7 linked regions of the Nothobranchius furzeri genome follow. The protein of the gene in region 7 binds, or shares a complex with, the protein of the main gene of each other region. Links are inferred from orthologs where the notes say so. Each region holds a gene or a part of one and is shown on either strand. Other genes may lie near its edges.

Region 1 (4,255 bases), on a different chromosome or scaffold from region 7:
CCTATGATCTGAAGTCACCAATGAACACAAACCAGCTACGTTTCAGCTGAACCAAAGGACTTATTTCCACTTTGTTACTACCTGTGATGCTACCACTACTTTCAGGGTCTGGCCTGCACACATCAAAATCATAAAAAGATTCCTCACACTCACTCACTCACTCACACACACACACACACACACACACACACACACACACACACACACACACACACACACACACACACACACACACACACACACACACACACACACACACACACACACACACACACGTAAAGTGCCCAACCACAAACTACTCACTGAAAGGTGTTTACAGATCAGCCATGGCTGCTGACGCCAGTCAATGAGCCAAATGCAATGGAAATCAAATGAAGATTCATTTGATGATGTCTTTTATTATCCCATTATGCCTTCTCTTTCCCCATTAAAAAGCTCTTTCAATGTGGGACAGACCTGCATTAGGCCACTTTTATGTGTCCCGTAGCAATCCCCGAGACACATCTCCTGGAACAAACATACACGGGTATGTATATTATGTGTACTTTATGTTTATTCTAGTTCTTTGCATATCATTTGTGCAGTACACTGTGGCCATACTCAGTGTTGTAAAAATAGATAAAATTAGTTCATTTTAATGTTTTGTTTTTATGTCTAATGCTGTTTTGATTTGCATGAGATACAGATCATAAAAATACTGTTGTGGGTGATTCAATGATGGATCAATGTTCCATGGGAATTTAAAAAGTACCTAACACTGAGCTGCTTTATGAAAAGCCATGTAAAGCTGTAAATGTCAACTTGGAGCCAAGATGACAAGTAATGCAAAACTGTTCTATTTTTCTGAAAGAAAATGCAAATCAATCCTGCTACTGGATCAACATTTGCTTTTTAAAACAATACAGTTCAGTGTCTGGTGTAGCTGCATAAATTGCCCATCGTCATTAGACGATGCAGAAAATGTAGTCAACAGCTGATTTCCTTCAAAATCATGGAAATCAAGTTTATTCATTAAACTTTAGTCAGATGTACGTAAACACATATTCAGTCCTCTTAGAAATGCAATGTTCTACTTGTGGAGAATGAAAATCAATTTTCATTTCCATCATAACTCAACATTTATAGAAGAAAGAATGAAACAATCTTTTATATAGCGCCCCCAAGATAAAAATCGCGAGGTGCTTCTCAAGCATAAAAAATTAAAAACAAATACAAGTAAAAAACAGATTATAAATTAAGGAAACGTGATTAAAATGTAAATAGTTTCTTATAATTTTAGTTTTTATTTTATTTAATTTTATGTGTTTCAGTCTTTATAAAAAAAATAATTCTACATAAGAAGCTGAGTTTGTCAGTTTCACTAAATAATAGTCCCATAGACTGTACATACTCAATAGTCCTCAACCATGGGCGTTATTGAACTACGTGTCCCACAATGCATCGCGGTAGGTGCCACCGGAAACACTCGTTGTGACCCTTCGTTGCAGGCGGAAAAAAAGGCTCAAAAGGATCCCGAAAGCGTCAAACGCACGTTGCAGTTCAAGAAGAAATAACAATAAAGCAAATAACTCTTACGAACAAGTCAAGGTAAGTTACAGGAGTAACATTAATTAGTTTGAGGAAACGGAGTTCTCATTCTTCTATTGGTTTTCGTTATTTAGAAATTTCGATTTATTTCGTTCATGTGTAGCATGGCTAAGGTTACGCGCATTTTCAAAACTCCGTATGTTACTGTAAAATATTTAGGTATTTAACTATGCTTATTAATCGTAGTAAACTGTAAATAGCATTTACGGCCAATCATATTTACTGTTTGGAATTGTTTAATGGTAGTTTCTAGATAAATTTGTCCTGTAGCCTTGCTAGCTAGTATGGCTAACTGAGCTAGCGGTTAGAATGCTATCAAACATTCTCCACCAGACTCTTAAAAAAAGAGAATACCCAAGCGAAATCGTTTATTCTCTAGTAATGTTATAAAGTGTATTACTGCGTAAATTCATGCTAAATAATAAAAACACCTTCATTTTAGTTAAGTCTAAATACTATGTCCCACATGAAAGTTTCAATTAATGTAGCGTTCGGGTTCACAACACTTCTTTTGTTATGGCTTTTTGCACAAAACCTGTTTTCCCAGGGCGTCTTTCCTTATTTGTCTTAATTTCAGTGACTAGTATTAATCCACAGTCATGAAAAAGTTCACTCGCCTTATTCTGTTGCTTCTCCTACTAGTTGTAATGCAGATTGTAGATTTCAGTGCTGGAAACTGGGCAACCCGGCTAACCAATAAAGTTAAATGGATTTGGGTTGCCAATATTTAAGAGCAGACATTTCTGTGGGTGAGCACGTATAATCTTTTGCTTTGTGTGTTGTGTTCCAGGAAAAGCTTTGAAACATGTCCATCGGTGTACCAATCAAGGTCCTGCATGAGGCAGAGGGTCACATTGTGACCTGTGAGACCAACACTGGAGAGGTGTACAGGGGCAAGCTGATAGAAGCAGAGGACAATATGAACTGCCAGGTTGGTTTGTTTAGCAGTATGGTTTAAAAGGGTTCCAGTGATTTTTAATTGTCAAGAAAAGTGTCAATGAAAAGCCTTCAAAATACTGTTGATCATAAACATCCAGTCAGTGCTTGTTTCAATCCCATCTGCTGCCTGAATAAATTTTGTTTTTATTTCTCTTGCAAATTGCCTTTCTTGCAGCTTTTTAATGGGTTAAATTAAAAAAAATATTTAATTTTTATTTTGTGCACTCACAATAACTTGGGTCAGTAAATTTGGCATTTAAGGTGTTCTGTTAATGTGGATTTTTTGTGGGGTATGTAGTCATAAAAGCTTTTGTTTGTGTAATTACTGGTAAACTAATTTGTGTTTGGGATTAGTGTTCCCCTAAATTGCAAAACGTTTGGCCAAACAATGGTGTACATGGATGCTTGGTGTGAAGAGTTTTATTTTTTTGTAAAAGTGTTTCATTAAAGCATTCTTATCAGAAAGGCTTTTATGTTGGGTTTTCATTTTAAGTTGGTCTTTAGCTTTCATGATTTACCCAGTTCAGTCAGTTATTTAACTCTGTTGTTGCATCATAATTTAATAAACAGTCTAAAGTAACATCACTCTTCAATTGGATTCTATTTCAGCACACATTTTTATAAGGGTTGAATAAACTGAAATGTTAATTTACATTTGAGCCATGCTAGTTTGGTAACCTGTGTGCACCAAGATCCAGATAAGTAACAGAACTGGATTAATGGATGCTCACACGGTCATTTCACCTGTTGTGGACCTAAACTTGAATTTGTCCCTACAGATGTCCAACATCACCGTGACCTACCGCGATGGCCGGGTTGCACAGTTGGAACAGGTCTACATTCGCGGCAGCAAGATCCGCTTTTTGATCCTACCGGACATGTTAAAGAATGCTCCGATGTTAAAGAGTATGAAGAACAAGAACCAAGGCTCTGGGGCAGGAAGAGGAAAGGCAGCTATTCTTAAAGCACAAGGTGAGTGAGAAGCATTTGGACAATTTCTCCAGATGCTGAGACAGCGCTAGAGTTTAGTTCCCTCTTTAGCTGCTTGGCTCTTAAATAGTTGTTAATTACTTTTTTTTACAGGTAACAACAGTGTTCTATGTGGACACTTCTCACATTTTCTGAGGTGGAATGGTTTGAAAGACAGATCCCAATTCTTTTTTATCTAATATAAAGGGAAAAAAAGGCTTTTTCAAAGGAATGTTTAATGGTATTGTCTAATTTCTTCTCTTGTAGAAGTCCAACATAGTCAAAATATTTGAGTAGGGAAAATAGGGATTTGTGGGGGGGCATTTCTTCCAGACCAAAGAGATACCTTTTTTTGGAGTTTGACTTTTTATTTTTACTTTTAACAGTGGCTGCAAGAGGACGAGGTCGTGGTGGAATGGGGAGAGGCAACATTTTCCAGAAGAGACGATAACTTATTTTGTTTTAAATTTCATTGTTTGATGTCATCTTTTGGATTTACTATGCTTTGGTTTACTTTGCAGTCTTTTGCTCTACAATTTATCACTGTTTTTATTTTGTATGAAATAAACAGATTTCAGCTCAGTGTTGCTCTTCTTGACTGAACCTTTGCTGTGCTTTGCCCCATTGAAGCCCTTTTTTTGTAGTATTATTCAATTTTGAGTCCCACCTCTTTCATTTATATTGTGTATTGTAACCTTTTAGCAAGTAAAATTTGTACATTTACCCACGGAAAAGCATTTTACTGCATATTTATCCTAGT
Region 2 (4,237 bases), on a different chromosome or scaffold from region 7:
CGTCTCCTCCTGCCAGAGCCTTCAGTGCCACACCTGATCCCTGCCTGGAGCGTCCGGTGTGGCTGAACAGTCGGGTCCTCTCCCCGCGGCGTTGCCAGTGCCACTCCACAGTGGTGTTTGCTCCCCGGTGGTCCACACTAAACTGGCAGTGGAGCTTTTGTTCAGATCTCAGGCTGGTTTTCACCAGTGGTGTTTCTGTTTTCATTACCATGGCAACTGTGAGACCAGATGGACAAAGACAGAACACAGAGAAACACCATCAAAGAACCAGAACTGGAGCTGTTGGCATTATGGAGTGAAACTAACTGACCTGATGTAGTGAGCATCTGTCCATCAGTGATGGGAACCCAGCTGAGGTAGTCCTGCTTTCCTGGTGGAGGCTGGTCAGACGGGTGTCTGAGGAAGCCGAGCACAGTGAAAAGGCCCTGGTTGTGTTTGAGAGAGACGGAGAACCAGTGGTTGTACTCCCTGGCCTTCTGACTGGGCCAGTGGACATAGATGCCCTGTGTGCTGTATCTACGCAGCTCACACTCCAGCTGTTCTGCCTCCACTCCCTCCACATAGTGCCGCATGTCCACCTTGGACCCTGCAGCAGAACACAGAAGAGTAAGGTGCAACCGTTGTCAGGTGTGTAATGGTGACCTGTGTCAGGTGGCTTACCTGTGACCTGAAAAGTGATGGTGCGTAGATCTACAGGAGCTTCTCCTGTCTGACCAAACTGCAGCACAGCATTTCTGGGGATCCGCTGGGTCTCTCTATGTCCTTCATTGTTCATAATCACCTGTTCATCTGTGAAGTGACAGGGCAGCCATAGTATCTGCTGGCTACAGTAGACCCCTGGAGACAGACCAACAACTCAAAGCAGCTGATCCGAGTGGGCTTCCTCCAAAAACACAAACTGTCCCCACACTCGCAGGGATACAAGCCTTCTGAAGACTTACCTGTCCAGATAAAACCGTAAATAAGAATCCTGCAGGGTGGAACCATGGTTATTCATCAGATCTACTGATCCTTGTTCCTGCTTCATTCAGCTGCACATTTATTCTCAGAACACTTTCGCTTTCATTTACAACGAAAAAAAACCTGCTTTGCATGCAGCTGCATCACGTGACGAGCAGAGACAGTTTCACAAGGAGAAATACTGCAAAACACTTTTAAATGTCACTAAAAGCGAGTAACGTTTAAACCATCACACGTAGGGCTGAACCGGTGTTCCGGTCTGGCGGCAGCACTGGTGAACGCGGTGTCTAGTCAACAACGCAAAACCTCGCAACAGTAAAAACAAACCAGTCAACAATCCAACAGAAAAGGCGAGGAAAACAACAACAACAACAACAATAACAACAAGGTGAAGCAGGTTTGGCGGTTTGCTGGGTTAATGCGGCTGCAGTACCGTATCTATCCAGGGGTGGCGCTGTGGGGACGCCTCGCCACCTGACAGCAGCCCGGCTTCCTGCTGGAAACCGGAAGCGCCTTTCCTGGTAACGAACTGGTTCACGAGGCGGGCGGGTGTATGTTCCTGCCTCCGCAGCCATGGACAAAGGTAATTATTAATGTTAGACATGTCTCGTGAACTTGCGCGAGCTTCGTCTCCAGTCGGTAGAGACGAACATGGCGCTAAACGCTCAGGCTGAAGCAGCAAGCTGCAGGTTTGAAGAGCCCTCTCCTAGCCAGTCGTTCGTTCTGGACCTGCTTCACCTGCAGCCTGCCCCCCCTTCACACACACACACACACACACACACACACACACACACACACACACACACACGCACACACACACACACACACACACACACACACACACACACACACACACCTGGATAACGCTGATCTCGGCCCAGCTCGGGTCTCAGCCTGTTGCTTGCCTGTTTTTCAGATTCCGCCGTGCTCCAGGGAGCTTTCCTCCAGGCAGACAAACTGTGCCTCCCCTCATCCCTGTCCCTGATGCAGAAGGCGGACTGGAGTCGTGTGAAGCTCCCGATCCTGCAGGCCCTCAGAGACACCTGTGGGCTGAGCGCTCTGGCCTGGCAGAAGAAGGTTGTTTGTGTGGTGTGGTTGAAGCTGATGAGCAGTGAGGCTGAGGAAGATGTGGAGAAGGGGTGGAGGGACAACCCTTTCTTCTGCCTCCAGAACGGCCTCCCTGACGTAAGCCGGGCTGTTCTGCTGGAGCTGGTGAAGTCACTCTCAGCTGCGCCGGTCTTTGCCCGCTTGCTCCTGCGTCTGCCTCAGCAGCAGATCTGCACCGAGCTGCAAACGCTGGCAGAGCATCTGAGGACGGATCCCAGTCCTGAAGACGTCTGCTTTCTGTTGGAGGTGTGGTGGGAGCTGTGGAAAGGCAGAGACAAATGTCAGACGCAGGAAGACAAAGACTTAGAGATGATGTTTGTCAGCCAGTTTGCACGCCTGTCCTCCGATTGTCCCAGTGTCTCGCCTCAGGCTGCAAAACGCTTAAAGCTGGACCTTCCTGCATCGTCAGCAAACACAGACGTTCTGCACGTTCTCCTCCATGCTCTTAAGAACATGAAAGATCAAGTATCTACTACAGATTTGTGCCTGCAGTCCCTGTTAGTCTGCCTCGACGCTCTTTACACATCCTTCCTAACAGACCCAGAGGTTGTGCTTCCAGTTGAAGAGAAGTTGCTCATCCTCTGTAGGCTTGTTGACACCAGAGGACAGACGCAGGCGTGGAGCCCCAAACTCCTTCAGGAGGCTCTGAGAGACCTGCGTGCTGCTCACTCACCAGCTCCTTTTCAGCCCAGCAGGATGACGCTGAGCCAAGCTTTGAAGATCGTAGCAGAACTCACAGAATTCTGGCTGGAACAGGATCTCCTGAGCGCTCCTGGCTGCTCCGCGTTCCTGCTGCAGCAGAGCGTCCAGAGAGTCCTGGCAGCTCTAGAAGAAACGGGAACATCTGAGCATGTGACTGAGAAGAGCACACTCAGAGGTCTGCTGAGTTCACTGTCTCTTCCTGCCGTAGAGACCCCCCCTCAGGTGCAGGCTCAGGTCGCTGCCACCGTCATCAGTCACCGCCTGGAGGACTGTGAGGAGTTTGCTGCGCTGTTTGCCAGCCAGTTGTCCTGGACTCATGAAGAGCTGTGGGTGGACTGCCTGGAGAAGAACCACACGGCCTTCACGCAGCCCAACACCCTCATCAGCCTCTCCTCCACCCTCGTGAGTCGCCTGCAGCGTGGGAACGTGAACACCACCTGGTGCAGGAGAGCCATTAAAACGGCTGCAGATGTCTTCTCTGCTCTTTCGTTAGAAAACCAGAACAAGGTCCTCGCTGCAGTACCGAGCCGCTCCAGCAGGGGCTTCTTTGGCTGCTCTGTCCCCTCGGCTGTGGCAGACGGCTTTGAGCAAGAGCTGAACATGGCCTTTAACTGCCTTATCCAGGGAGGGGGCGGGGCCTCAGCAGCAGTGTCCCAGGGCCGCCTGACCACAGCAGCCTCTCTGGTAGCTCGAGTGGCCTTTCAGAGCCCAGAGGCGGCTTTAAGGTCCTGCTGCCACGCCGCCGTTTTCAACAGGGGAGCCTTCAGCCTCATGGCAAAGATCCTGCAGCAGCTGCCTGGACTCCGCGGACGGAGGGGAGGGGAGGATGAGGCAAACGGAAACGATGTGGAGCAGCAGGAAGCTGGAGGGCGTGGTAGTCTGTTCTGTAGGTGTTTACAGACGGCGGTCAGAGGCAAGCCACTGTCCGCCTGTGAAAAGGAGCAGCTCCTCAAGTTCCTGTCTCTGCTCATGGCGCCGGGCCCGACGCTCCAGGGAGAGCAAGAGACACAGAGGTTCTTGTCTCCACAGGAGGTGGTCAACACACTGGTCCTGCCTCGCCTCTCAGCTGCAGGTCGGGGTCCATGCTGGCTTTAATCTCATCTGTGTGTGATCTGTAAACGCTCGTCACATTCTGCTGCTGTCCCATCTGTGTTTCTGCAGCTGAAGAGTCCTGCGATGCAGAACTGAGTCTGCAGCTCCTCCACGCTGCTTTGGCTGTGGGTGTCCAGGAAGTAGCCCCCTCCCCTCACTGGGTGTTGGACTGCTCTCCCTTCCCCCTCCTCTATATTCTGGCCCAGCAGTACAACCAGACTCTCATGTGTGTATGATCCCGTGTGTGTGTGTGTGTGCAGCGGTTGTTGTTGGGCTTCTACTCATCTGATCTCTGTTAGGTGCTGGGAGCGGTCGTCGGAGGACAGCGACCACCTGAGCTCCATGGACACCAAGGAGCTGCTGGAGTCGGTGCTGA
Region 3 (3,595 bases), on a different chromosome or scaffold from region 7:
CATTAAACTGGGCCAATATTAACTGATAATTTTTCCATCTTGTTTTCATTTGTTTATCTGTTTCAGAGGGTGAGGGAGGTGATGTGTAATTGTTTAGTCATGTGACAGTGATTGCAATCATCTAACAGTGTAAACATGTGTGGTGTGTGTACATAACGTCAATTCAGCTTTAATCTTTACAAATCTGTTGATCTTAGAAGCATTAATGTCAGTATATCGGTATTGGCAAACATCGGTTATCGGCCATAACAGCGATATATCAGATATTGGTATCAGCCCCAAAGTTTCATATCGGTGCATTGCACTGAAGATTTCTGTTTATTCAACTTTTCAGGAATATTTATGAGCTTCAGGTAAAAAAAATGTCATAGCAGGAGGTCAGAAAATAATGAAATGCAAACCTGAACCATGATCGCATACAAGACTAAACTGTGACCTTCTTTCATCGAAGGATTGCGTAATTATACCAGTCACTATGGTGTCATGTTGTGAGGTAAGTGTCTAACCCACGACTTACAGAATCAGTTCACAGACTACGGTCGGTTTTAAACAATAAATTAATGGAGAAAACAAGGGAGCAGCATAAATGTAGCTGAGATCTTCAACAGGAGTCGGGTGCAGGAATCTGCAGACAGATGGAGGTTAGATCCAGCTTGAAAAGGGCAACAGGGACTTTAGAAAACTGGGGAAGCACTAAGATTGGTCTGTAATTATCATACTGTAGTAAACAAGATTTGTGGTTTTCTTAATTTGAACACTACATTTTATTGACCTTGTAAACATCCATCCATCCATCCATTGTCTGAACCCGCTTTGTCCACGTAGGGTTGCGGTGGGCTGGTGCCTATCTCCAGCGGTCAATGGGCAATCAGGCGGGATATACCCTGGACAGAAAGCCAGTCCATCGCAGGGCAACACAGAGACACACAGGACAAACAATCATGCACGCACACACACACACACACACACACACACACGCACACACACACACACACACACACACACACACACACACACCTAAGGACTGTGGGAGGAAGCCGGAGTACCCGGAGAGAACCCACGCATGCACAGGGAGAACATGCAAACTCCATGCAGAAAGATCTCAGGCTGGGAAGTGAACCCAAGGCAACAGCTCTAACCACTGCGCAGCCGACCTCGTAAACAATACAAGTAAAATAGGTTCTTGGAGTCCTGTCATGCCGGTCAAAATATGCACGATTTTTCTCCGATTGTTCCTGAACGCGTCTAGTTCCGGAAGTGACGCACCGTTGTGTACAGGAACGTTTCCTTTTCACTTTTGGAAGCAGCTTCGTAAGTGTTGTTGCTTTAAAAACGTATTTAAATTGTGTTGTTTATTTTAAGCTTTGTGTTTCAAACATGTTTACTCTCGTAATTATCTTGCATTGGGTTTTAAAAATAGGAAATGTTCCTTAAATTGCATTGTCACCCACGTTAGCCTGTTAGCAACTGATTAGCGGTGGAAGCTATCAAGCTAACTTGTGTTTTAAACAACATTTAGGAGGAAACTGATCGTTAAAGGTTTTAACTCATATTAACATTAGACTTATTATGATGTATATCTAAAATTACTTATTGTAATTTATGAATTGGTCAGTTATTTTCTGCTTTACGTTTTGCCAGAGCACGGCCATCAAAGATGACTACAGCTGCAAGACCAACATTTGAGCCGGCGAGAGGGGGTAGAGGAAAAGGAGAAGGGGATTTGAGTGCTCTTTCTAAGCAGTATTCCAGTCGGGATCTTCCAGGTCACACCAAGATCAAATACAGGTCAGAACAGTGGGTTCCAGTTTCTCAACCTTAAATATTTATTCGAACTACTTAAACTGTGTTTCTTTCATCTCAATTAAAAGGCAGCCTACCCAGGATGCCCCTGAGGAAGTGCGTGCCCGTGATTTTCGCCGAGAGCTGGAGGAGAGGGAGCGTGTAGCTGCTCGTGAGAAGACCAGAGAGAGGGGACCAAGAGGTGGATTTTTCTACTCATAATAAAGATTAGATCCAAAAAGGATGTATGCAACGGTTTCTGGCATAGTTCCTTTAATCTGTATTGTGTTGATTTTATTTCTTCAGAGCACACCACATCATCTTCTTCATCATCATCATCTTCAAAAAGGCCCAGACTGGATCAGATCCCAGCAGCCAACCTTGATGCCGATGACCCTCTCACTGATGTAAGGATTTACATTGCAATACATCCCAGACTTACACTGGATAAAGTTATTAATCCATTTTTACATTACAGGATGACGAAGACGAGAACTCAGATGAAGAAAGTGATGATGACGACACTGCAGCCCTGCTGGCTGAACTTGAAAAAATTAAGAAAGAGCGAGCTGAAGAGCAAGAACGCAAAGTAAAGAGTTTTAAGTTTGTGTTTGCTTTGGCTATAAATGAAAAGTGATGTTATAGAGGATGGCTTAACCTCCGTGTGCTTTTCTTTTGTTATTTAGGAAAGAGAGCAGAAGGCAGAGGAAGAGAGGATTCGAATGGAAAATATTTTGAGTGGAAATCCATTGATAAATTTAGCAGGACAGCAACAGCAGCAGCAGCAACAACAGCAACAGAGCCAAACTCAGAACACATTCAGAGTCAAGAGAAGGTATTTCTTATGTTCACTTGTTACAGCAAGAATGTTGGTTTTTTGTTTGTTTGCATTTGGAAAAACAAATATATTCCTTCACCACCACTAATAATTCTGATGTACTTCTAGGTGGGATGATGACGTAGTGTTCAAAAACTGCGCCAAAGGAGTGGATGAGGCGCGGAAAGAGAAACGTTTTGTCAACGACACGCTGCGCTCTGAGTTCCACAAGAAATTTATGGAGAAATATGTAAAGTAGAGGACTTTGTGTGTGTGTTTCATTTGATCTTTTTTAATTGAAAATGTTTTAGTTTCAAGCATTTTAATTGCAGCTGGCATTTATTTACAGTCTAACTAATTGGAAACCGTACTGTCTGCAGGTCAGTTGCTGTTTGCGTAAATCATGAAAGTTTGAAGCACATTTCAGAATGTGATTTCAGTATTTCTGTCATGCATTTTTCATTATTTGAATAAACATTGACTTTTTTCCCTTGAATTACTTTGCATAATTTCACAGAAATAACAGATTGTGCATTTTTTAATTTTAAAGGGTAAATTAACTTAAAAAGTTAAGTTTTATAAAAAATGCTAGGGGTGGGGTGCCTAAAATCAGCACAGAAATGGGTATGAAGAGTGTTGCTTTTCATTTAACCCTCCACTCCCTAGTGCTTTTTTTGTGCAAAAGGTAATGGGTTTTGCAAAAGTTCAAGGATGTGGCGAGGGTTAAAAGATACTTTGTAACTTGTTCATATTTTTAGATAATTTTCTTGAGCCAGTATGTGCTAAAATAACCCTTCACAGTGTTAATGAAATGCCACCCAGCCCCTATCGCCCCCTGTGGCCAAAATATCCCACTTGCAGCTTCACAGTTGCTGGTCTGATCTGTTGAACTTAGAAGAACTTGAGCTGACATACCTGGCGCTGCAGTCTAGTTCCAGCAAGTTTCCTGCATGGTTTAGATCATGAACACAGCTGATTTGTTTCATTTAGTGATGA
Region 4 (4,059 bases), on a different chromosome or scaffold from region 7:
GATTAAAACTTCAAAATCTTCTCTAACCTCTCCATTATGAAGTTAAAATTTATATCTCAGACTTGATACACCTTAATGACAAAATACAAGTCCTGATACTTTGGTTTTAATTCAACCCTGATAAAAAAAAAAATCGTTTATCCAGTAATATTTTTCTCCCACTGTTTCTGTTTGGCTTAGGGGTTTAGTCTGTTTTTCCCAGATAGTAAGTACATTTTATTTATATAACACCCATCACAGACAGTAATCACAAAGATAAAAAAAACAAGACAAATTAAAGATGATTCGAGTTAAAAATAAGGCTATTTATGTAGATGGTGGTTAATTCTGCTCCCGCTTGACCAACACGAGTGTCAAAATTTAAAAGCGTGGTTCCTGCTCAGCTGAACTTCCATCCAGTCTTATAATTTACTGATTTACTGGATGACTGTAATGTCTGATGGCCTGTAAAGCATCAGTCGTCTGCAAAAAGTTCATATGTTCAGTCACTTCCTGTCTGTTGCTGCTTCTTCTTCTCCACCAGCTCTTTCTGTTTCTCCCTCCTCTCCAGGACTTCCATCATCCTGGCATAGTTGCGTTCTCGCTCCTGGGCCTTGAGCTCAACCACGTCTTCAAGGAACCTGTGTCTGCATAAACGACAAGCAAATATGTTTACGATTTGCTGCTAACTCATAGTATTTAATATTTTTGCTTCAGTCTCCAATGACAGTTTCACCGTCACACCGGTGTTACAGTGAAATGTGTTGTGCGTGTGTTTCTTTTACGCAGTTAGCAAAGCTCAGTTTCACCTGTTAATGAAAATAGTGGCGAGTCCAACCAGCAGAGTTCCGAACAAAATGGGTTTGGCGAGGCGCTTTCTCGCGGACAGCCGGTGGTGATTCATTGTTGCTGTTTTACTTAAATAAACAAAGCGACATAGCGTTTTTGTTAAGCTGACCTCCCGCAACGTGCGTTATGTGCTGTTGTACGAGCACATAAACACAAACACACCTTCTGCTCCTTAACTTCCGCTCAGCTGCCGGTGTTGTATCAATCTCTGTACACCATTTAAAATGTGTTTCCTCATCGGCTCGCGTAGCTCTCGCGTATTTCATTGCACAATTGTGACAGCAATGCTAGCATTTATAACGTTATAGGCGAGTTTATAGCAACGATGTTACGATTTCGTGTAGCTAAAAATGCGTTACTCTTTAAATCATGCGAAAGTGAACGGGGAACACATCTTCACGGACAAACAAGTTTTGATAAAACAGCGGAACAAATATCTACTTGCGCAGTTTTTCCGAACACTTATGAGCCGCGGACCCATACGTGAAATGAAAACAACCTCTGAATCAGCTATGAACGGTCAAGTAACTTAAACATCAGCATAATCTGATATCTGTGTGAATTTTATTTGAAGTGTTAAATGTGTTTTTGCTAAAAGATGAAGAGAAATGAGTCAGCTGAAGCGCCTGAACGGTTTGAATATTTACAGACGCTGGTTACTGAATTTCAGGACACTGACAGTGAAGGTAGGAATAACCTTTGATCTGTGTTCTACAAAGTTAAAATAAAAACCGTTTTAAAACGAACACGTAGACTCTCAACACCCTCAGTTTAGATGCATGCTATTATTTATTAGTGATGGGAATGGCTCAGCTCACCAGAAAGAGCCGGCTCTTTCGGCTCCCAAATGGCTCCTCAGATTTTCTGTTTCGTAGAGTACATTTATAACCAAAATAATGCAAAACTATATGTAAAATTATTTACTAATGTAAAAAAAAATGCAATATATCAAATATTTATAATTTCTATGGATTTAATAACTGAACACTTTAAGAAATTGTCACTTTCCGACTGCTGGCGCTCATTTTCTCACCGTCTTCATCACACTCTCCTCTCTATCTCGCTCACCTTTTTCCTCCTCATTCCCTCTCGTCTACCTCCACCTGCATGTGCTCTGCTGTGTGTCTGAGTCTGATTCTCCCTCTTCCCCGTCCCTACTGCTCTGTGTGTGGACAGTCTGGTCACACAGTTACACATGTTGACCAATCGCCTGTAGCGTTCACCAAAGCAAGAGGGGAGGGGGGAGGGGAGGGGACGGCTCCCAATGATGAGCCGGCTCCCGTTGTTCACTTCAAAGAGCCGACTCTTAGAGCCGGTTCGTTCGGACTGACACATCACTATTATTTATATCGTTAGAGGGCTTTTTCAGAAGCCGTTGTTCAGTCGAAAACTGTACTCTCCATCAGTATATTTATTTGAAGTGAGAGAAAAAAAATCGTCAAAAGAACATTTGTATATATGTTAGACCAGTTTTTATCCATTGCAATAGGAGAAAGGCTGACTATCAGCATTAGAATTGTGTTCAGAAGACAAAAAGATCACAAATACATGCAAATGACTTCATGAAGTTAAAATTTTTCGAAAAAGAATCTGTAAACATGACTAAATCAGGTAGAAGTGAACAAATACATCAAATAAGCTGTAATTCTAAGCAGCGTTTTAAGTTTTATTCTGAAAGTGTATCGTTGTGACATGAAATAAATGTAAGCTTAGTATTTGGAAACCAAAAAGTGACGTTATTTAACCAAATTCTGATTGTTCATTCTACATGTTAGTTCACTTTGAGATTACTGCCATAAGTAAACATTTTCTGTTGGATTTTACCGCAGAAAGCTGCTTGTTTTTATTTTTAAAAAAACGGTGTTAAAAATAAGTAGCCAGATAATGTGATGAATTAAATAATGCGCTAGTTCCACATCCATCCATCCAGTTGTAAATATCTACACTGGCTGCCATTAAACTATAGAAACGATTACTAAGTGCTACTGCTAGTTTATAAATGAGGCCAAAATACATGTTGGATCTCCTTCCTGTATATATACACCCAGCAGGGCTCTGAGATCCTTAGGAAACAGTCAGCTGGTAGAACCTCGGGTCAGAACCAAACAGGGTGAAGCTGCTTTTAGCTACTATGCTGCTCACAGATGGAATCAGCTTCTTTATGACCTGAAATGTGCCCCAACTCTAGTAACTTTTAAGTCAAAATGGAAGACTTTCATGCATTCATCAGCCTTTGAAGGATTATTTCTCATGCTGTACCTTCTGCGCTCAGTCTTTAACTTTGTCTTTTATTTTATTTCTTACATTTAATTTTATTAGAGTATTTAAAATTTGAATTTAAAAGCTGCTGTTTTACGTCGTCACGTTGATTTTAATCTTTTATGATCATGCTGGTCATGCACCTGGAAAGTACATTGAATAGCTTCAGTGTATGAAATGTGCTACACAAATAAAGCTGCCTCGCCTTTCTAGTTTACAGACAAATCTTATTTTTATACTGTCAGCTCCACATTTGAGCCTGAAGGGTGTTTTGATGTGAAAGTAAAAAGCGCCCCCTGTGGTATAAATGTGTACTGTTTCTGTGCTGCAGCCTCTGTTTATCATTGTTTGTAATGAGCTGGTGTAAGGTGAATTAGTGGATGTAGGTATCTCTGTTTGTTTCATTACTTTTTCTCTTTATCAGAGGCAAAGGAGCAGGTTCTGGCAAATCTAGCCAACTTTGCATATGACCCAAAGAACATGGAGTACCTGAGGGAGCTGCAGGTTCCTGACCTGTTCCTGGACATGTTGACCGAAGAGAATGAGAACTTTGTGGAGTTTGGGATGGGTGAGCATCTCTCCAACTAAAACAGTAAATCATGTTTGTTTATGTAAAAATCATCTAAACTCAAATATTGTGTTGACAGGGGGTCTGTGTAACCTCAGTATGGACCCTGGATGCAGAGACATCATCTTGGAGAACGATGGGATCAGCTTGATCACAAACCACCTGTCAAACCGGAGGGAGGAGACGGTGCTGTCTGCCGTCACCACCCTGATGAACCTCACCACACCAGCGACCTGCTCTCAGATCACAGAGCCAGGGATCGTTCAGTGCATGCTGCGCTTCTCACTCGCAGAGAGCCCCCGTCTGCGCAACCTGGCCTCGGTCTTCCTGCAGGACTGCTGCAGCCAGGAGCAGGTGAGACAGGCTGAGCTGCAGATGCAGGGGGTGCAGACGGCCATCGGGAT
Region 5 (4,258 bases), on a different chromosome or scaffold from region 7:
AGTTTATCTGCTGTGATGCCCGTGTCCATGGCTTCATGAGCTGATCCAGCAGCCAGCAGGAGGAACCGATACACTTTATAAATCACTCATCTGTGTGGGGGGGCAGCAGAGTCTCACCTGATGAGCAGCCTGCTCCCTCATTAGAGTCTTATTGCTGGAGTCCCAGAAGTGAACGGTGCCATTAGTAGACGCGCTGACGCAGAAGTGACTCTGCTCCGGGTGCTGACAGAACGAAAAGCCCGACACCAAGTCCCTGTGGCCCGTAAGCTCACCTGCAACACACACAAAAAAAGAAAAATAAAGGAAAAATAAATTGTAACCAGAAGATTTCTGGAGGAATGGTAAGATGAGCCAGAACCGCTTCAGCCTAAAGCCCATCGCCCTTCTGGTGCATAAGAAGTGTAAAAAGAACCAAAAACTACAGACAGGTTAAAGCAGCTGCTAGTGGCTCATTAGGGTAACCTTGGTAACCCCCTGTGGCTCGTTGGTGAGACCATGGCAACTACTGATGACTCAATGGGATCACCATAACAACCACCAGTGCCTCACTAGGATCACTATAGTAGCCCCTCCACCGGAGTCTCATTAGGGTAACCTTGGTAACCTCCTGTGGCTCGTTAAGCCGGGCGTACGCTGTGCGACTTTTTCACTTTTTTGAGCCGATTTTCCACTCGTGCGAGAATCTGCGAGAATCCACGACATCGGGGCGAGTTTTGCGCCGAGCGGTCGTGTAGTGTACAGGGGGTTACGAGAGGCGATTAACACCACGTGACCAGCTGCCGATCAGCAGTCGTGAGGTCGCACAGACTTCTGGCGTATTTAATATTTTGCTCGTCCCTTGTGAGGGTATCGCACTGTTGAAGCAGTGCTGCGAGCAGCTGCGACCCAAAAAGTATCAGAACCGCTCACGGCGCATGCGCAATCCTGCATCAACGCCGCTCGCTATTTCCCTATTAACACACACTGTTCATTTTTGTTTCTACACATTTTTTTTACTCACAAAGATTGTAAAGAAAGCGTGTTTGTCGTGTTCATGTCAAATTAAACTGATCACAAAACACAGATTTACTTTCTTTATTTTGTTTTACTCATCCAACCCCCATAAATCCCTGTGTGTCCTCCTGCAGCACTCCCGAAGGACAACAGGCAAGACAAGACAAAAAAGTCTGACGCGTTGTGTAAAAACTGCTATTTTTAGCATATTTTTAGGTCCGACGTGTTTCTACCAGACGTTCAGTGTGAGCAGTCAGGTCACATCCGAGAACTGGGTCGTGCAGTGTGAGCACATGACTCGTGAGATCTGCCCTGTTTGAGCTGAAGCTGAGTGCTACGAGTGAAAAAGTCGCACAGTGTACGCCCGGCTTTAGTGAGACCATGGCAACTACTGATGACTCAATGGGATCACCATAACAACCACCAGTGCCTCACTAGGATCACTATAGTAGCCCCCCCCCCCCCCCCCCCCCCCCCCCACCGGAGTCTCATTGGGTTACCATGGTTACTCCCTGCCATGGAAACAAACAACATCTCATTAGAATCACCATGGTAACTGTCCGCCAGTTGCTCATCGGGGTCACCATGGTAACCCCTCACAGGTGGATAATTAGGGTCACCATAGCAGCGCCCCACCAGTGGCTCATTTGGGGCACCATGGTAACTACCAGTGTCTTGCTAAGGTCACCACAGTAACCCCCCACTGGAGTCTCATTAGGGTTACCATGGTTACTCCCCACTGGTGGCTTATCAGTGTGACCATGGTCAGGGCGCAGATAGGATTTTCAAACTGGGGGTGGGGGGGGGGGGGGGGGGGGTTGGGACAAAGTTCCAATGTACCCTCCCCCAAACACATACACACATACACAAACTATTGCAAGAGCCTTAGCTAGAGCTCAAACAGTTTGTGTAATTTCATCCAATGGTTTACGAAAAAACTAACACTATTATATACGTGTTTGAAGCCATTATGCAACTGGCAACAAAGCTCGGCCTGATCAGCACTATCCACATCAGCCCTTTGTTATTCTCCCAATTAATTACTAACCACAACCTCATGCTTTATGCAAAACATTAAATGATTTTCAGATTACCAATCTTTACAGAAAACAAATTCACCCCCCTATCTGCGCGCCTGACCATGGTAACAAACAACATCTCATTAGAATCACCATGGTAACTGCCAACCAGTTGCTAATTAGGGTCACCATGGTAACCCTTCACCGGTGGATGATAGGGTCTCCGTGGGCGGGGCTTTTCTCCCACCGGTGGAGGACACTTTTCTCTCTGACCCCATGTTGCCCTACCTCACACCAGCTACCAAACTTCACAACCAACACACATATCCCGATTGAACCACGTGTTTCTGATGTTTAATCTGCATGTTTGGTGTTTAATCTAGAGAATGTGGGTACATGGGAACTTCCTAGCAGTAGATTAACAACTTTCCAGACTCTAGTCATCATGTTTTCTTCGCATCTGTTCTGTTAGCGGACACAGAGAAACCCCCGTATGAAAGGTAACGAGAATAGTAAACTCACCTGTAATCTTGCAAGAGGACGCAGAAACGTCAACCAGGTAAATGACGGTGTTGGCTCCGAAGCCCAGTAAACCATTGCTATTGACATCACTGCAGCGCGAGCAGTACCAGTTAGGGGAGGCGGGAAGCGACCTTTCGTTCATGTTGCTCTTTAAATGTCAGAAATTCAACACATTGAAGTCTGGATCGAACCAAAACAAACAGCTCACATGTACTTCTCACTCGCGTTGCAGTAACATCAATGCCGTACGTTCAACGTGGTGTCGTAAATTCTGTCGGTCCTCAATACGGGATCTTAACTGGGTCAAACTGTGCGGATTGTGCTTTTATTAAATTCATGTACTGACCGTTTATATTATATTATAGTGAATAGAGCTTATCTATACATACGTTTGGGGTGTTTATGTTGTGTTAGTAGAAGGATGTACAGCAGTAAAAGTATATAACAACAAAATAAACGTTTTTGCCCCAAAGGAGTGTCAGAAAGTGTCGTAAAAATTCAAGATGGCGACTGCGATGATAGGACGCGGTGAATGAAGTTTTTATAAATAAGCTCAAATTTAACATATTTTTGTGTTCGTGTCTGTTTTTAATATTTTCATAACTGTTTGCAGGTGTTGCTTTCATCAGGAGCACATCCGGTTTGTTCCAGTCGAGGTGAGACGGTTTAAACTTGAAATTGTGAAGCTAACAGAAGGACGAAATGCACGAGACAGTTGTCGTTAACAGGCGACTTTGGTTACTAATAGAACCCTGGCAGAATACAGGTATACTTCAGGTGTTAAAGCAGTGGTTTATCGCAGGATTCCGTTTATTTAATGTCCACCCTGTTCTAGAGCAGAGGGGCCCAATCCCGGTCCTGGAAGTTGGAGGAGACGTCTTGTAACTTGCAGCAGAGATAAGGAACCTTGCTATGGCTGTTCCCCAGGTGGCGTGGCTGGCTTATGGAGAGATGGTTACAAACAGACCATTTGTTTTGGGTTGGAGAGCACACAGTTTCTCTGGCGAATGAAGATGGCTGGATAGTTTAATGCCTGATGCCCTTTGGCATGGCCACGACTCAACACCACAATAACGTTTTGTCTGTTGCATTCTCTCTCCAGGTTGCAGGTTCTGGCTGGAATGTCACAGCAGCTCTCTTGTGTCCACACCAGCATTCCACTGGACTCAAAACACTGGGAGAGGGCGAACCGGAAAGTGTTCCCGCCTCAGCTGCCGGATGAGCCTCGGCGACCTGCAGTGAGTCTGACGTTTACAACACAAGTCCAATGGAACAATTCTTCAGAGGGTTTAACTACAAACACATCGTCAGAGCTCGGTTCCTTTAGTCTGGCTCAACAGGACCACCGGGCTAGAGATGCAAAAAATCTGACCCTGAATAAATCAGTTTAATTGTGTTTAATGAAACATTGAACCAACAGCTGTGAGCTGATTGGTTCCAGGATCTGATAAAAATCAGATCTAAATGTTGTTTCACTCACATTTTTCTACCTGGAGTTCCTTAAAAACAGATTCAGAGAACTAGTTTCACCTTTTATGCATAACTCCTAACCTCGTCTCTGTTACCATGGTGATCCAACTCAAACTGATCCACCTTTGTGATCAAGCAGGAGCAAATGTGATGTAGTAAAACCATCTGGTGTCAGGAAGCTGATGACTCACCTGATGCTTCATGTTTGAACGTTTTCCTGCAGGAGGTCTACCACAGCAGGAGGCAGATCAAAT
Region 6 (4,122 bases), on a different chromosome or scaffold from region 7:
TTGAGAACCAGTGAACTCCTCTAGAAAGATCATGGTGAGATTCTGCACACAGTCTGGGCCAAAACCAGTTCATCAGAGACCACCGACAGATGGGACTGGAGAGCAGAGACACTGATGGGACTATACCTGCTTGAACCTGAGGGACCAAGGCAATCAGCATGGATGACTGGTTTGAGACTGGAAGCCTTCCCACACCAGGGTGACCAGTATAAGGAGTAGGGATGGATTCCAGATGTGGTACTTTTTAAGGCACCGACTGAATTATGTGGTACCCACCAGGGATCAATTCTCCTACGACTGGCTTTTTCATATAAGAGGAAACCGTCTTCCCTTGCTGCAGAGTTTTTATGTTTACAGCCGGACCTTGAGTTTTTTGAAGAAAATGTGAATTCAATTCAACTCAAAGCTTTGTTTATAAAGTGCCTTCCGCGACCTTGTCAGGGAGCCCAAGGTGCTGTACACAGTACATAAGAAACATAAATCACAATGAATAAATAGAAAATAAAAGCAATTAAAATAGTGCAAAGGGGGTAAAACATTGAAGTAGAAACAAATAGATAAAACAAGGGAACTCATCTCTATACCAACCATTCTGTCCTGTTTTGCACCATACCAGTTTCCGTTTTTTATTCATTTATTTATTTTAATAAAAGAAGCAGACAAACGCCAAATGTGAGCTTGTCATAAATCTTGTTGCATTTTATCCCACTGTTAGACTGACTTCTTTTCTCTGCTGGGTTTATCTTATCACCTAATTATTAGACTATCTTATGTCCTTGCTTTAATGGGTTAAGGCTGTTTACAAGTTTGAGCACATCTGTCATCATCTGTTTAAATGTGTGTCATCTAATCACAATTTAAATCAACGCTGATTAGGATTTAGACCTATTTTTCACCAGTTTTCATTATTCTAGAAGAAAAACATACCTGCTGCACACAGCTGGGCAAAATAGGGCCATTTACATATATTTCATACGTAGGTAAGGCACACATAGGTTTATCCTATTTACCAGGGCTGCCGACTTCTTTAAAAGTCTCAGAGTGAGATTTTCTTTATTTTAACATATCTCTCTCTCTCTCTCTCTCTCTCTCTCTGTGTGTGTGTGTGTGTGTGTGTGTGTGTGTGTAGGGACGTGGACTATTAGGGTTTGTTACGCAAAGTGATATTAAGGCAGATTTAATTTTTCAGAGGCAAATTAGATGCTGTAATCACACTTAAGTGTGTAAAAAAACACAATGTTGATTAATTATGAGCAAAACATGTCAAAGAAATGGATACGATTCAAGCTGAATATGTTGAAGACCTCTGGCTCCCCCTGGTGGTAGTTGTCTGTATTTGCAGCGCTCCCTGATACGTCATCAAAAGCGGACGCGACTACTGAACAAAGCTACCGCAAAAATGGTGAGCTAACCTCGTTCAATATTCAAAATGTATTTAGCATGACACCAAACACATGACAGTTAAATAAGTCGTTACCTTAGTCTTTGTGTAACTGTTAGTGTTTCCATTCTCTCTTTGTTCATAAACTGTCGTGCTCGACGTGTAGCGTGCAGCTACACGCTAACGTTAGCATGTCGTTGTGCTCCGCAGCTTTTCTACTCGTTTTTCAAGTCTCTGGTTGGGAAGGACGTAGTGGTGGAGCTCAAGAACGATCTGAGGTTAGTGTTTTACGGCTTGGCCTCCACTGCTGTGATAAATCGTTGAAGCTGTTGTTCATTTGCAGGAAAGAACGCTAGCAATTCGACCCACTGTAGCACCACGTTGGAAACAAGTGGTCTCTAAACGCGAAGCTTTGAATGAACTTCTGCTAAAGCTTGAGCTATTTCTTTGTATATTCCAATGGACTTGTAGCTTATTAGTACTGCGACGTTTCTACACGAGTCTGACTCGGAAATTAAGGCAACCGAGCTAAACGAGCCATGTAGCCTATTCAAAAGTGTCCAAATGTTTGTTTTCTTGAATATTTATCCACACATCTGTTTTCAGCATCTGCGGAACGCTTCATTCTGTTGACCAGGTATTGAAAATACACTTTTTGAAACTCTTTCAGACAAACTTCTGCAGTTTTTTGACATTTACATTCCTACTCTTTTTGGTTTTTAGTACCTGAACATAAAGTTGACAGACATCAGTGTGACGGATCCAGAGAAATATCCACACATGGTAAGTAGCATACTTGAGACACATCGGTCCTAAGGTCACGTTGCTTCAGATGTCTGTAGAAATCTGAGGCTAATCTCACTACGAGTGTTTTCCACATTCACAGCAGGGTTAACAAACACAAACTCAGCCCTCTAATTGGTAAAAAGGTGTGATTATTCACTTAAACCAAAGATGCGACAGATTTTTGTTTTGTTTTCAGGTCGAGTACTAAAGCCTTACCTCTAGTCCTCAGAAAATAAAAATACAACTTAATAGGGCTGGATGAAAACTTATTTGTCAGTGTCCTTTTGCAGAATTCCAATTTTACAATATTATACCTCCATATTTTTTCTTCTGTAAATATTTGCAAGTTAACTCCCTTCAAGCTGTCTACAGAAAGTGTAATCATAAATTCATCAGCAGATTAAATGCACAATTTAATCAGATTCTTGTCAAACATCAACCTAAGTGCCATTCTCTATCAGTTTGAGCTGTAGAAACACTTGTACAGCTGTATGCTAACACACATGTAGGTTTAGATATTTATGCCGCTGGTTTGACCCGTCTCTCAGCACCAGCAGGATAAATAAATCTCCGTCAGCAGCCACGGTGAAAAGTAGCGATGTAAGACAATATCGATATGGCAATATATCGTGATGTTTTTTCCTGCAATATTATATTGATATCCAAAAGCCATGTGTTGAACTTTTTGGAATAGTTTACATGCAAACATTTGTGTATTTTCTTTTCTTTTGGTGCAATTCAAACACTGACCGCTAGCTAGCAGCAGTGTGCATTGGGTTTTGTTTCCACCACTGAAATATAAATCCCTCTATTATGGTTCAGATACCTCATGTTTAACATGTTAAGTATCAGTTTGGACTGTTTATTGAAATTTTCTACAATAAATTCAGTCTAAAAAATCGCTGATATCGTCTGGCTGAATGTATCGCAATATATCGTGATATATCGTATCGTCTTCCCTGTATCGTGATACGTATCGTATCGCCACAATTTCACCAATACACATCCGTAGTGAAAAGGCTCACTAAAACACGAACAAATGTCCCCAAATAATTAAAAACCACTAATCCAAATGCAAAGTTTAGGGCAGAAAATTGACCTAGAGGTTTCCTGATCGAGCAGACACGTGAGAATACATGTAATGATCGCATAGAGACAGAACAAGCTAGTGGATAGCAATAGCTGCACCTGCTAATGCTAGAAATTCACTGTTTTTATATTTATATTGATGTAAAGATATTGAGTCATCAGGTTTCTTGTTTGAAATTATATCCACATTTAAAAAATCTCAGCCCTACAACTGAAAGTAAATGGGTTTTTAACTAGAAATTTATTTCAACCATACTTACTCACAACTTGGCTTGCTCATGGGTATCTCCTTAAAAATGTATCAAATCTTGACAAACTAGTTTTATTTTTACCTGAAGTCATAAAAACTCAAGGAAAAGTGATTTTTAAATAGTCTAGATTAACTCACAAACCTGTGGATTTGTAGCCCACAAACGGTTGTGTTTTATTAACACTCTCTGCAGCAAAGATGCTTTTAGTTAATACGTTTACTCGGACGTTCCGAGGACTCACCTTTACCACAAGGGTTAGACTGAATGAGCTTTCCACCGAACGTGAAAGCGTCATGAAATGGACGCTAAACTTACCTCGCTGAAATTAGCCACCGTTATAGCGAATAGGTTCCTTTCTACCGGCGGCTAGTGTGTAAGTGGCAAAAGTGTACGCCATCGTTACGCTATTTGTTTATGTGCTACCCTTCCAAAACCATCAAACCGGCCGGACAGGAAGCCGAACACAGAGGCGGTGTCAAACATCCCAAAACGTTCTAAGTAAGTCACGTTCAGATAGACGTACATCATTTCCTTTGAAACCCCCGTAGCCAATGTAAACGGAACAGAACAGACCTTGTGGATACCTGCAGCTGTCTTTCTCCTTGCCTGTTATTG
Region 7 (3,960 bases):
ACCACCAAGGGTCCTTGCCTTCCCCCCCACTCGCAGAGACTTGTCTGTCCTCGGCTGCTAATTATCAACCCACTTTCTCCTCTGTGAGGCAGGGACAAGCCTGTGTTGCATGTTATTAATACTATTGTGAACTACTCAAGGCTGTGTTCCTTGACTCGGCTCATCATGTTACAGGTTTACTGTGCACAACAGAGAAATGGCAGACCCCGTTTTTTATAAAACCACCTATAAATATCACGGGGAACGGCTTTGTCCAGCAATGGTCAGATTCAGGATTTAAAGGCCTTCTTCCTGGGAAAAGAGGGGCTTTATACACATCAAGATGAGGAATTAACTCTGTTTTTGTCCATCTATTAACCAAGTCTCATATTTACAAATGGACTGTAAAATCTGGAAAGTGACACAGCCCCATCTAGAGGCCAAAAGCCCCAGACTGACGACACACTACAAAATATACGCATACAACTTTGTTTTGACCCCCAGGAGGTATGAGCTCAACTCAACAAGCCAATCACGTGATCGGATCTAATCCTGGAACAACACCTCTGGGGACACAAAAGCCATCCAGACCACAGAGAAAAAACCCAAACCCATCAGACTTCTGACTACGTAATCAGATCTAAAGGTCTCAGAAAAAAGTCTGGCAGACAAAAGGAGCTCAGGAAAAGTTTAGTCAGGCTACAAGACCTTTTTTCTGAGACCTTTGATGCAGTGCGGCCTGCTCACTGCCTGCTACTCCCGAAGAGGAAGCGAGCCTTTGTCACTCACTATCCATCAGTCATCATCCAAGACACGGCTGAAGACGCTCTTCTATGATTTGGCTTTCAGATTGTGACTTTTTAAAGTTCTCTTTTATTGTGTGTTTGATTGTAGTTTTTATCTGCTTTTATTGGCTGATTTATTGGTGTTTTTATGAGTTTTATTGTTACTGTATTGTTATGCGCATTTGGTCAGCTCCCATGCTGCTTTTAAATGAAATAAATAAATTGGTACGGTATGAAGTCAGAAGTCTGATGGGGTTTGAATGAAACCTGCTTTTTTCCCTCCATGCTCTGATGTCTGGCACCTGAGGGTGTGCTAAAACGAACAGGCTGCTGCAGTAGAGTCCTCCGTCCTGCGGAGGCGCTGTTCCGTTGCTGTTTGTTAAAAATCGGTTAATCAGACCGGTTAAAGATCCTGCTCGCGCGGAAACCTGCCATTGTAGCTAGCTCTCAACGCGGGTCAAACGTTAAGGTGCATTTGGTCCAGAAGGTGCAGTTTTTGTTTACCGAACACATTTCGTTGGTGTTTTGCTGGAGAGATGGCGTACAGAGGACAAGGACAGAAGGTGCAGAAGGTCATGGTGCAGCCCATCGTATCCTTTGTATGATGGAGAACGCGTGAGTGGAGCTAGGTGTTTAGCAGCCTGGCTAACCGGTGGCCCAGTTCGCTGAACGAACGCGCGGATTCCGTTCCAACTGTGTGATTCTGGTGTTTATGAAAATTAATGAGATGATGCACGTGTTCCGCATCATGTCGGAGAAAAAGAAACGGCCCCGAGGCGAACTTAGCAGCAAAACTAGCGCCGCTAATGCTAATGGCTCCGGTTAGCTGTACCGCTGGAGGTGATGGGAGCTTCTGATCTCCTGAAGCATCGGTTATCCAGAGTACTTTGTAGGACTTTGCAGTTGTAATCGAAAAGGTTCTGAGGACGCCATTGTACAGCTGCCCTCCGACCTCTTCGGGAAATGGCTAAAGGGCAAATTATTCTCTACTCTGACCACCTTTAATCTGCTCTAGCTCGAAAACGACACCACCTGCGCTCTTCAGCCCTGTACTGCAATATCCTAGACTAATGGCAGGTTACTCGAACATAGTTTAAATAGTCCATGATTCATCACATGTGAATTGGATGAACTAAACATTGAAGTTGGACGGTGAAGTTCTGAGTTTTAATTTTATTTTTGGTATTTTACATGAAAAGTTAAAGTCTGTTTATCTGCAGCACTTAATAGCTGATCAGTTTAATCCTGATCTTAATGGGCTTTGTAAACAGTTAGGCTCTGGTCATTTCTCATGTTTAACATTTTATTATCGGGTGAAACACGGGTCGCATTACCAATTTGGATTTTAATATTTAATTTCTACAAGATATACAGTCAGCAGCTATCAGATTATTAGAATTTAGAGTGAGCTGTTTAGCTGAATCCTTCTAACGAAGTGCCCCTAGTGCACACGCGATAATGAATCTTAAGTATACCTTGTTAGATACATGAGCTCCTTAAGGGCTCCTCTACTGAAAAGTACTTTTAAAGCCTGAATTAAACATCTGTCATATTTGAAACAGAGCTGTGAAACCAGGGACCACAAAAAGGTATTAAATGGCCTTTTAAGTAAAGCTTTCACAAATATCAGAGTTGATTTTAATTGTTCTGCTACCAGTGCAGAATAATCCAGTACAGGTTTGAAATGTCTAGGTATTGTTGTTTTGAAACTATGGCTGTTCAGTGTGGTCTAGATGCAGAAAACGTGCTAAAATCTGGTTTCTTGAAGTTTCACAAATCAGAAAAAGGTTTTACAAATCACAAATGATGTTTTTTGCAATCTGCTATTAGTCTAGAATAATCCAGTTCAGGTTTGAAGAGTGCAGGTGTTGTAGTTTTCCAGCCAGAGCAGATTAAAGATGGTCAGAGAAAAATTGGGCGTAATTGCCCTTTAGCGGTTTCCCGGATCTGAAGCCAACTTCAGCCTCGTCTTCCTCAGCCTTTGTGGTTTATAATAACAATAAGTGTAAACATGTTTGTTTGGGTCTAACTAAAGTAGAGTCGGTCAGTGGCATTGGCCCGAACACGAGCAGAACTCCTCTGTGCCGGGTCGGTTACATTGAGATTGTTTGGAGTGGAACCTGTAAGTGAAACCTGAATGAAGGCACGGCCCGAGATGTCCGACCATCAGTCCCAGCCCCGCTGTCATTTATTTTCAGGACATGGTTACCAAATCCTATGTACTGATTTTTATGTTGGCAGCTGCTGAGTGTAACTCTGTTACTTTAAAATGTAATAAGTTACTTTTAATGGCAATGAATAAAGGTAACACTACAACTGAGTACAAATGTAGGCTACAGACGTGCGTGTACTGTTACTGCTGAGCGTTGGTTTTCCTTGACTCTACCTTCAGAACCTTATCTTCAGATACCTTCAAAATGTAAGTTGCTATCCCTTTAGTTTGAAATGGTTTTATTTAGATGAAGAACCTCTAAGTTGTTCCCTGCCTGTCCCCAGCGCTCACGGATCCAGGTGTGGCTGTATGAGCAGGTCAACATGAGGATAGAGGGCTGCATAATCGTAAGTAATGGCTTTGTTTCATTCTTCCTTACCTCCATATGCAACAGGGATGCCTGATAGGTTATCTGCTGCTGGATACCCACGTGGATGGGCTGTTTTTCAGAGTGTTTTCAGGGCCTGTGAAAGGATTTTTTTAACTTTAAAAACTCACCTCACACGGCCCAGAGTTTCTCTAAAACTCATATTAAATATTGAACTTCCTCCGTGCCGTATTGTTCGTTGTAGGATGAAAACTTTACACTTGTCCTGCGGGAAAAGTTCAGCAGGTTCTTTTACGTTTTTGCTGCATTACAGCCTCATTTGGGTCCTAGTCCTTGATCTCTGGAGAACACAGCTGCACCATGAGAATATGAAAGTGTGTCAGGGCTAGGGTTGTCACGGTAACCGGTGTAGCGGTAAACCCCGGTAAAAAAGTTGACAATAGTAATAACCGTCTTGTTTTTAAAAAAAACTATATTATCTCGGTGGATTACCGTGGCTGCGGTGTAGGCGCGGTGACCCTTACCAGCCACCGTATCATCTGCTGAAGTTGCCGGCGGCACATGCGCACTTTGTTGTTTACAACCAAAACTTTCTTTAAGCTAAAGCTGAAATAATGGCCAGAGGAGGAGACGGCAGCACTCAGGACATTTATTAT

The links.
Region 1: snrpe (region 7) and snrpd3l share a complex: the UniProt entries of both Homo sapiens proteins name them as parts of the U7 snRNP complex. The link is inferred for Nothobranchius furzeri from reciprocal best matches to the Homo sapiens genes SNRPE and SNRPD3.
Region 2: snrpe (region 7) and gemin4 share a complex: the UniProt entries of both Homo sapiens proteins name them as parts of the SMN-Sm complex. The link is inferred for Nothobranchius furzeri from reciprocal best matches to the Homo sapiens genes SNRPE and GEMIN4.
Region 3: snrpe (region 7) and cwc15 share a complex: the UniProt entries of both Homo sapiens proteins name them as parts of the minor spliceosome. The link is inferred for Nothobranchius furzeri from reciprocal best matches to the Homo sapiens genes SNRPE and CWC15.
Region 4: snrpe (region 7) and armc7 share a complex: the UniProt entries of both Homo sapiens proteins name them as parts of the minor spliceosome. The link is inferred for Nothobranchius furzeri from reciprocal best matches to the Homo sapiens genes SNRPE and ARMC7.
Region 5: snrpe (region 7) and gemin5 share a complex: the UniProt entries of both Homo sapiens proteins name them as parts of the SMN-Sm complex. The link is inferred for Nothobranchius furzeri from reciprocal best matches to the Homo sapiens genes SNRPE and GEMIN5.
Region 6: snrpe (region 7) and smx5 share a complex: the UniProt entries of both Homo sapiens proteins name them as parts of the U4/U6-U5 tri-snRNP complex. The link is inferred for Nothobranchius furzeri from reciprocal best matches to the Homo sapiens genes SNRPE and LSM2.

What each region holds. Positions count from the first base shown.
Region 1 is NC_091746.1:48,714,724-48,718,978, forward strand, and holds snrpd3l (small nuclear ribonucleoprotein D3 polypeptide, like), read left to right. Parts: upstream 1-1,455; 5' UTR 1,456-1,587; intron 1,588-2,377; 5' UTR 2,378-2,392; coding exon 2,393-2,518; intron 2,519-3,305; coding exon 3,306-3,498; intron 3,499-3,881; coding exon 3,882-3,946; 3' UTR 3,947-4,077; downstream 4,078-4,255. UniProt on the Homo sapiens protein: Plays a role in pre-mRNA splicing as a core component of the spliceosomal U1, U2, U4 and U5 small nuclear ribonucleoproteins (snRNPs), the building blocks of the spliceosome.
Region 2 is NC_091753.1:62,515,922-62,520,158, forward strand, and holds the start of gemin4 (gem-associated protein 4), read left to right. Parts: upstream 1-1,437; 5' UTR 1,438-1,533; coding exon 1,534-1,543; intron 1,544-1,876; coding exon 1,877-3,841; intron 3,842-3,930; coding exon 3,931-4,087; intron 4,088-4,160; coding exon 4,161-4,237. Other genes in the region: dhrs13b.2 (tapasin-related protein), read right to left, coding at 1-216, 311-586, 661-837, 942-987. UniProt on the Homo sapiens protein: The SMN complex catalyzes the assembly of small nuclear ribonucleoproteins (snRNPs), the building blocks of the spliceosome, and thereby plays an important role in the splicing of cellular pre-mRNAs.
Region 3 is NC_091750.1:48,553,597-48,557,191, forward strand, and holds cwc15 (protein CWC15 homolog), read left to right. Parts: upstream 1-1,160; 5' UTR 1,161-1,311; intron 1,312-1,396; exon of another isoform or gene 1,397-1,539; intron 1,540-1,641; 5' UTR 1,642-1,657; coding exon 1,658-1,788; intron 1,789-1,871; coding exon 1,872-1,984; intron 1,985-2,088; coding exon 2,089-2,189; intron 2,190-2,260; coding exon 2,261-2,371; intron 2,372-2,468; coding exon 2,469-2,617; intron 2,618-2,728; coding exon 2,729-2,858; 3' UTR 2,859-3,095; downstream 3,096-3,595. UniProt on the Homo sapiens protein: Involved in pre-mRNA splicing as component of the spliceosome. Component of the PRP19-CDC5L complex that forms an integral part of the spliceosome and is required for activating pre-mRNA splicing.
Region 4 is NC_091756.1:50,515,179-50,519,237, forward strand, and holds the start of armc7 (armadillo repeat-containing protein 7), read left to right. Parts: upstream 1-1,259; 5' UTR 1,260-1,292; coding exon 1,293-1,352; intron 1,353-1,426; coding exon 1,427-1,514; intron 1,515-3,511; coding exon 3,512-3,655; intron 3,656-3,734; coding exon 3,735-4,059. UniProt on the Homo sapiens protein: As a component of the minor spliceosome, involved in the splicing of U12-type introns in pre-mRNAs.
Region 5 is NC_091750.1:72,354,333-72,358,590, reverse strand, and holds the start of gemin5 (gem-associated protein 5), read right to left. Parts: upstream 2,801-4,258; 5' UTR 2,677-2,800; coding exon 2,535-2,676; intron 273-2,534; coding exon 118-272; intron 1-117. Other genes in the region: mrpl22 (large ribosomal subunit protein uL22m), read left to right, coding at 3,038-3,062, 3,148-3,190, 3,637-3,772, 4,228-4,258. UniProt on the Homo sapiens protein: The SMN complex catalyzes the assembly of small nuclear ribonucleoproteins (snRNPs), the building blocks of the spliceosome, and thereby plays an important role in the splicing of cellular pre-mRNAs.
Region 6 is NC_091756.1:60,995,450-60,999,571, forward strand, and holds the start of smx5 (smx5), read left to right. Parts: upstream 1-1,322; 5' UTR 1,323-1,399; coding exon 1,400-1,402; intron 1,403-1,591; coding exon 1,592-1,659; intron 1,660-1,987; coding exon 1,988-2,018; intron 2,019-2,104; coding exon 2,105-2,164; intron 2,165-4,122. UniProt on the Homo sapiens protein: Plays a role in pre-mRNA splicing as component of the U4/U6-U5 tri-snRNP complex that is involved in spliceosome assembly, and as component of the precatalytic spliceosome (spliceosome B complex).
Region 7 is NC_091743.1:2,209,503-2,213,462, forward strand, and holds the start of snrpe (small nuclear ribonucleoprotein E), read left to right. Parts: upstream 1-1,160; 5' UTR 1,161-1,300; coding exon 1,301-1,354; intron 1,355-3,156; coding exon 3,157-3,183; intron 3,184-3,260; coding exon 3,261-3,323; intron 3,324-3,960. UniProt on the Homo sapiens protein: Plays a role in pre-mRNA splicing as a core component of the spliceosomal U1, U2, U4 and U5 small nuclear ribonucleoproteins (snRNPs), the building blocks of the spliceosome.